2 linked regions of the Macaca mulatta genome follow. The protein of the gene in region 1 interacts with the protein of each later gene in a biochemical or structural test. Links are inferred from orthologs where the notes say so. Each region holds a gene or a part of one and is shown in the gene's direction. Other genes may lie near its edges.

Evidence for each region. The genes of interacting proteins can lie anywhere in the genome.
Region 2: the proteins of CHAF1B (region 1) and ASF1A form a complex in vitro, tested with the Homo sapiens proteins (2 studies listed by BioGRID and IntAct). The link is inferred for Macaca mulatta from reciprocal best matches to the Homo sapiens genes CHAF1B and ASF1A.

The regions. Positions count from the first base shown.
Region 1 is NC_133408.1:11,041,997-11,045,941, reverse strand, and holds the start of CHAF1B (chromatin assembly factor 1 subunit B), read left to right. Parts: upstream 1-1,145; 5' UTR 1,146-1,247; intron 1,248-1,852; 5' UTR 1,853-1,926; coding exon 1,927-2,052; intron 2,053-3,355; coding exon 3,356-3,488; intron 3,489-3,945. UniProt on the Homo sapiens protein: Acts as a component of the histone chaperone complex chromatin assembly factor 1 (CAF-1), which assembles histone octamers onto DNA during replication and repair.
Region 2 is NC_133409.1:23,859,364-23,863,317, forward strand, and holds the start of ASF1A (histone chaperone ASF1A), read left to right. Parts: upstream 1-1,154; 5' UTR 1,155-1,494; coding exon 1,495-1,603; intron 1,604-3,954. UniProt on the Homo sapiens protein: Histone chaperone that facilitates histone deposition and histone exchange and removal during nucleosome assembly and disassembly.

The DNA.
Region 1 (3,945 bases):
GTTATTCTAGCTTCCTGTAGAAATCAGGCTTCAAGGAGCATACAGCCATTCTTATCAACATGAGACACTGATTTTTAGGCAATATCTGTACCTTTCATAAAGCTGGCTAAAAGCATCAGCCAGTATTTATATAAGAATCCATGTCTGTTCTTTTTTTCCAAAAATCCTAGAGCAGTTGGTTCCTCAGATAAACCTGTGTGTTTCTTTTATCCAGTAAAAGCAGCGCATCCAGAGGTACTTGTTTTCTGGCCTTCTGCGAAGCCCACAGATAAATTAGGTCTCATCTGGAAACGTCCCATTTCAAAAGGCCTGCGGTATCTGTGCCTACCGATCAATTTACCGCCTCACTTTAAAATGTGAGTCTGTTCTTAAAAAGGATTTATAAGGCCGGGCGCGGTGGCTCAAGCCTGTAATCCCAGCACTTTGGGAGGCCGAGACGGGCGGATCACGAGGTCAGGAGATCGAGACCATCCTGGCTAACACGGTGAAACCCCGTCTCTACTAAAAAAAATACAAAAAACTAGCCGGGCGAGGTGGCGGGCGCCTGTAGTCCCAGCTACTCGGGAGGCTGAGGCAGGAGAATGGCGTAAACCCGGGAGGTGGAGCTTGCAGTGAGCTGAGATCCGGCCACTGCACTCCAGCCTGGGCGACAGAGCAGACTCCGTCTCAAAAAAAAAAAAAAAAAGAAAGGATTTATAACTTCGTCTACTATAATAATAAAATGTAAGCAATCTTGCGCTAGGTACTGAAGAATTTCATAGCTTTGAACTCTCCAAAATGTTCTAGAAGCCAATATAGAAACCCAGAGATCTCAGTTTTTGTTTGCAGAAGGGACAGGAGAACCGGTCGTGTTCGCCCTCCCAAGTGCACAGCGCCAGCATAGGGTCTGTCTAACACACAGCCCAGGCTCTGTAAACGTTTGCTAAAAGAACGAATCAACAAGGAATAAATAATGGATAATAATAATAAATAATAGTGAATCCATTCTTCCTGCAATCGTGGGTCTGGCGGGAATAAATTCCGGCCCGGATTCCGACCCCAGGGCCAGACCGGGACTCGCCTCGGCGCCTAGGAGGGGGCGGGGCTTCCCTGGGGTGCCGCCCACGTCGGGCGGGACCTGAGAGGCGCTTGAGGGGCGGGGCGTCCATGAGGTCCCACCCATGCGGGGGGCGGGGCCTGCGGCGCGCGGGAAGCAGCGCGCGCTGCGCGGGAGGTGACGGCGCCTCTGACCGTCCGGGTTCCTGCAGGTACGGCTTCCCGTGGCTGGCCCGGGCGGCTCCGCGGCTCTTTTGGTCGGGTCGATCTGGGGCCAGAGGCCCTTGCCCAGGGCCTGGGGCCCGGGATAGCTCCGAAGGGCGCGCGTTCGGGCGGCGGGGCCCCGTCCACCCCCGGCCCCGCGCGGCCTCCTCCCGGCGGCCTCTGTCCCAGCTTCCCGGGCCCAGCGCCCGGTCCCTGGGAAAGGCGGGGTTCTGCTCTCGCCCCGCCGCCCCGGTCCCCTACCCCGTTTGCCCCCCTCTTCCGGGAGGCCCCTCCCGGGGCGGGCCCCTACCTGGGCTCTCAGGGCGCGCCCCTAGACCCTACTAAGCGGGGACAGGCCGTGCAGATGGCCGGGGCCCCTAGGTAGCCTCTACCTGGATGTTTGGTTTTGCTTTTCTGGACGTAGCGGCGTATCATAAACTTGTGGATGTCAGGACCCAGCGAAGCATTTTAGGTGGAGCTAGCAAGGTGTTCTTGTCAGATGGCAACGTTAACATCCTTTCCCAATGCAGTGTGCATTTTAAATGGCTCCTGCCCTATTCAGCGCTCAGTAACCCTTCGCTGCTGCTAACACTGTTGTTTAATCCATCACCAGCATTTTGCAGCTTTCCTCCGTCTTGAAGTAGAACGGTGCCCGAGAAACGTTTTGCCCCTTCAAGACTCAGGAGGATGAAAGTCATCACTTGTGAAATAGCCTGGCACAACAAGGAGCCCGTGTACAGCCTGGACTTCCAGCATGGGGCGGCCGGGAGGATCCACAGACTAGCGTCTGCGGGCGTGGACACCGCTGTCAGGGTAAGCTGGGGCAGAGATAGCCATCTGGGAACACTGCTTGAAGCAATAGTTTTCATTCTTTTATTTAAAACCGATGTCGGCTGGGCGCGATGGCTCACGCCTGCAATCCCAGTGCTTTGGGAGGCTGAGGTAAGAGGATCACTTAAGTCCAGGAGTTCGAGACCAGCCTGGGCAACATAGCCAGAAATGAAAAAGTAGCAGGACGTGGCGGTGTGCAGCTGTAGGCCCAGCTACTTGGGAGGTTGAGGTGAGAGGATCGCTTGAGGCTTGGAGTTTGAAGGGAGCAACCATCACTCCACTGCACTCTAGCCTGGGTGACACAGCCAGACCCTTCTCTTAAGTAAATGAATGAATGAATTGAACATATGTCAACAAATTCAAACTACTCTGTCATCTAGCCCAGAATGCTAAATTTCCAGGGCCTGCGGTGAACAATGAAAGCAAAAGAGAGCTGCTTTTTTTTTTTTTTTGAGATGGAGTCTCGCTCTGTTGCCCAGGCGGGAGTGCAGTGGTGCAATCTCGACTTACTGCAACCTCTGCCTCCCAGGTTCAAGCTATTCTCTTGCCTCAGCCTCCCAAGTAACTGGTACTACAGCCACTCATTACCACACCCGGCTAATTTTTGTATAAAGTAGAGATGGGGTTTCACCATGTTGGCCAGGCTGGGCTCGAACTCCTGACCTCAGGTAATCCACCCACCTTGGCCTCCCAAAGTGCTGGGATTACAGGCCTGAGCCACCATGCCCTGGCTCTGCTTTCTTATTTGATTCATTTTCCCTAGATTATTGTAACTGGACGTTCATTGTTTTGGGATTCTGATCCTGGTTCCTATTGGGTAACAAGTTGCTCTAGAAAGAAGGCGGAGGGGAACAGTAGACATTTATGTTTTAGATGGGGATTTCTTTCTGAAAATAAGCATAGTTTTTTTTTTTTTTTTTTTTTTTGAGACAGGGTCTTACTGTGTCGCCCAGGCTGGAATGCAGTGGCCTGATCTCGGCTCACTGCAGCCCTGACCTCCAGGGCTCAAGTGATCCTCCCACCTCAGCCTCCCGGGTAACTGGAACTACAGGCATGTGTCATCACACTTGGCTAATTTTTAAAATTTTCTGTAGAGACCAGGTCTCACTATGTTTCCAGGCTGGTCTTGAACTCCTGGCCTCAAGTGATTTACCCACCTTGGCCTCCTAAACTGCTAGGATTACAGTTGTGAGCCACCACACCCAGCCCATAGTATTGTTTTAATACAAACAGTATAATATGTGCCTATTCTATGTTTTTCAAATGAATGTTTTGGTATTGACAGATCTGGAAGGTAGAAAAGGGACCAGATGGAAAAGCCATTGTGGAATTTTTGTCCAATCTTGCTCGTCATACCAAAGCTGTCAATGTCGTGCGTTTTTCTCCAACTGGGGAAATTTTAGCATCGGGAGGAGATGGTGAGTATTGCTGTTCTTCAGAGATTCTTTAGGAACCAGATAGATACCTGTGTGTCTCGTGTCAGATAGTGAGATTTGAGCTGAATATGCTTTTTTAGGAGGGGTGGGATAGAGTGTTGCTCTTATTCCCCAGGCTGGAGTGCAGTGGTGCAATCTCGACTCACTGCAACCTCCGCCTCCCGGGTTCGGGCGATTCTCCTGCCTCAGCCTCCCGAGTAGCTGGGATTATAGGCACCTGCCACCACGCCCGGCTAATTTTTTTTTTTTTTTTTTTTTGTATTTTTAGTAGAGATGGGGTTTCATCATGTTGGCCAGGCTGATCTCGAACTCCTGACCTCAGGTGATCCACCTGCCTCGGCCTCCCAAATTGCTGGGATTACAGGCATGAGCCACCGGGCCTGGCCTGGATATGCTTTTTATTTCAGATATGGCCGACCTTCTCAATCTGTCATTTAGG
Region 2 (3,954 bases), on another chromosome or scaffold:
ACAAATCAACATTCTGGGCACTATCCTAAGAGAAAACTCTTCCAGAGCAGATACTTCAGAATTAATTTTCTCTCTGAATTTGGCCAAGTTTGGTGGTTTCATTCACAACATTTAAGGAAAAAAGTGACGGTTTATGGATAGCAGGTAATAAAAACAAATCTTTATACCACTTACTAGTAATAGAAACGGTTTAGGCTCACAAATGTGTTAAAGCTTTCTCTTTCCCCGCAATGGTAGTCAAACAGCATAAACGAATCAACATTTCCTCAGTTCAGATCTCAACTGGTTACAGGCAAGCAAGGGCTCCTCAGAATTTGCTTTACTAATGGTTTAGGTCAGAAATTTTTTTGAAGATCAAATGTCTTGCTATGTCTTCGTGTTCTTTTCCCCATCTCTATTATGTGTGTTGCCCTGTTGGTCTCCTGACACTTCCATTTTCTCCTTTTATGTTCCTGCTATGCTCTCCCAATGGCAGTAACCTAGGGTATAACTGATCACACCTCTTGTGATTTTTTTCTTATTCTAGGACTTTCCAGATCTGGACTCCGAAGAAGACGCCCAGGTGTAAGCCCAAAGGTTACCTATTTAAATTTTCCAAGCACAGTGTGTGGAAAATCATTCCTCGCCCTTCATTTTGTGTTGCTTAACGGCGCTGTCGTGCCTAAACGTAGATACTGGCCAAGAGCTAGATTTCCAAAATGGCTTTGCTCCTTTCGAGCTGACATCGGTCTATAACATGCAATTTATTTCCCCTGCAGGCAATCTTTTTCTCTACTCCAACTACTACCCGATACACAGAAAGCTGAACCTAACCCAGTGTAAACACCGATTCTCATCTGCTAAATTCAGCAAGGCCGGCAAAGCTGTTGCAATGATGTAAAAAGAGCGTTAAAAAATTAAAAAAAAAAAAAAAAACACAAAAAACCACAAAAAAACAAAAAACGCCAAAACACCCACACGAAGCCAACCGGAGGGGCGGGCGTCGGCCGAATCGCGCCCTCCCGCCGCGGCCACGCCTCCCCGCCGCGGCCACGCCCCCGCCGCCCCTCTCCGCGCCGCCGCCGGCGGCCTCCGCGCGGGCCTCCCAGCCCTTATTCCACTCACTTTGTTCTCCGCCTTTGTCCTAATCCACACCAGCAGGTGGAGCCGCAGTTAAAGTTTCCGAGTCCATTCCGGGAGCGGGAGCCCATCTTGCTGGCTGCCGAGGCCCTCGCTGGAGGAGGAGGGTCAGAGCTCGGGTGCAGCCAATCGAGGGCAACGCTGCTACTTATCAGAGCAGAATGGGCTGTAGTTTAGTGAAATAGGAAAGCTGCAAAACACTGTGGAGTGCTCCCGTGTAAATAAAAAGAGGAAAAAAAAAGTTTCTCAAGTCGCCGCTGCACAACGTCGGGCCGGCGCTGGGGCGGGGGTCTGCGCTCTCCCGAGCGGCCGCGCGCTGGACTTTATTGTGCCGCAACCAGCCCCAGTTCCCATTGTTTGTGTTTTTTTCAAAATATGGCAAAGGTTCAGGTGAACAATGTAGTGGTGCTGGATAACCCTTCTCCTTTCTACAACCCGTTCCAGTTCGAGATCACCTTCGAGTGCATCGAGGACCTGTCTGAAGGTGAGTGCGGCGCCCGTGCGCCCGGGCTGTCAGTTGCGGGCTGCAGACGTTGAAAGTTTCCCGGGCCCGGCCTCGCGCTGGGCGGCTGTGTTCGGCGCCTGGCGGCCGCGGGCTGCTCTGCGGAGGGAAACTTCAAGTTGATGGTCGACGGCCGCCGAGGCGCGCGCGGCTTTCCGCCGCAGCCCAGGCGCCTGCCGGGCTCAACTTGCGAGGAACTTGTTTGAGCGGAGGAAGCCATGTTGTCAGCTTTGTCTGCGGGCGGGCAGCTCGGAGACCCGCACTCGCGCCCGCGGCGCCTCCTGGGGTCGCGCCGGGCTGGCTTAGCGCCGCCAACAGCTTCCGCGACCCTCCGGGCCCGGGCACGGAGGCTGGGAAGGGAGAGGCTGTGCGTGTGGTCGCGCCGGCGAGTTCGGAGCGGAGCCATCTTACCCCAGTCGAGAATTGGGCCAGCGACCCCGGCGCACGGCGCCTCTTCTTGCCCCTTCGCCCGCCTGCCCCCGGCGAAAGGGAGGCAGTAACTCTCGAGAGCTCACGGTGGAGTCGCCGCACTCTCCGGGCTGGCCATGCCTGGCCGCTTCGGGGAGGAGAGCGAGGCTGTCCTCGCGCTGATTTCTGGCTTCCTCGACCAACCAGCGGGGGAGGCGGGCGCAGGCTCGGCCCCTCCGCGCCGCGGGCTGGGCGCCGGCACTCCCCGGGGGCCGCGGGTCCTGTTCGGCCGGTCCTCTTCGGCCGGTGCCCGGGATGCGCCGGGATGCTGGCGCGCAGGCTCCCCAACCAACGTGGACTCCTTTCCCCTAATGACGAAAAGCTAATCTCAGGAAGAGAGAGAGAGCTGAGCTAGGAAGTTACATTTAACCTAAGAGCAGAAATAAGATACTTAAATAATTTCCAGGACTTAATCTCTGCCTTCTAAATAGTCTGAAAGAAGACTTTCTTCAAGAGCGTGTTGAAATGTAAAATAACTCCACATCCAGATGCAGAACACACCCTAAACATAAAACACAAACGTAGGCTAGGAAATTAAGGTAAACAACTCATGTCAGTCCAAGAATTCCTGGTATTTTTTCTACATATATTTTAAGGTCTTAAAAATACGTATTCTTAATATGTTTAGTAATAAATATTTAGAAAGCTAAAACAACAATTATCTTTGCTTTAATTATATTTTACTAAAGTAATTCAGTACTTCATTTGCCAGTTTTGAAGGGGAAATAGTTTAACTTCATCGATGAGGGGCATACTTCTTTGAACTAGAAGTGTATTTTTAAAATGCTCTGAAGATGATTTGGCTAATCGTGGCATGTAAAACTTTTCATTTTAAAAACTAGTTTTTAATCTCTAAAATGTATGTATCATATGTAAGGTTAATTTTAATTATAAAACAATATATATCATTGTAATAAACTTTTAGAAAGTTGTACAGGCATATATAAAGTTAACAGTTCTCTGTACTCAATGCCTTCCCCTATCTCCTTTAGGTAATCACAATTACTACTTTAACATGTGCCCCTCTGTGGGGTTTTTTTTTTTTTTTTTTTTTTTTTTGGTAAACCTATATAGAGTATAAATGCACATACATATATAGGGCAAATTTTGAAAGATGATTCATTTATTAAAATAATTTCAAATAGGCCATTGATAACACTTAGGGGTATTTTTCTTATTACTCTGAAGTCATCTGTATGATACTACTATTAATATAAGCATTGCAGCTACCAGGCCCATTTTTCACACCCAACAGTCAGTAATTTTTTTTTTTTTTTATTGCCAACTGCATATAAAAATAGACAAAAGAAAAACCATTGATCGGTCCATTCCAACTTACACCACAGTGTTTTTCAAGTATACCACCAGAAGTTCTTCAAATTACAGGTATTTCTCAAGTGATGCCTTCCATTTTAGGAGTCAGCTCTGAACAAAGAAGATAGATGACTCAGGATGTCGTTACAGGGCTTTTACATTGCATAGATGAAACCAGCCATTCATAAAGCCAAAACAGGTTCCATTTTTAACTGGGATCCATTCAGAACCCAGCTGAATCACATCAGGGTTTTACAGTACTGGTATCAAAAATATACTTATTTCCAATGGTATATTTCACTTCCTAGGCACCATTACTGAGCATTTATTTAGTATTTTAAAAAATATTTTAAGCTGAGTCATACTGAAGCTGCAAAGGAATCTTTCAAAAAGGTGCCATGCCTGTATACTCCACCTAGAGGCTATGTGGATTAAGGAAATTGAGTTTACTTAGCAAAGGCTTCTTATAGGTTCCATACTTTTATATTATAGTTCTTTTAAAAATTCTGTTCTTAAACTATAGAATTTTTTTTTTTTTTTAAATGAGACAG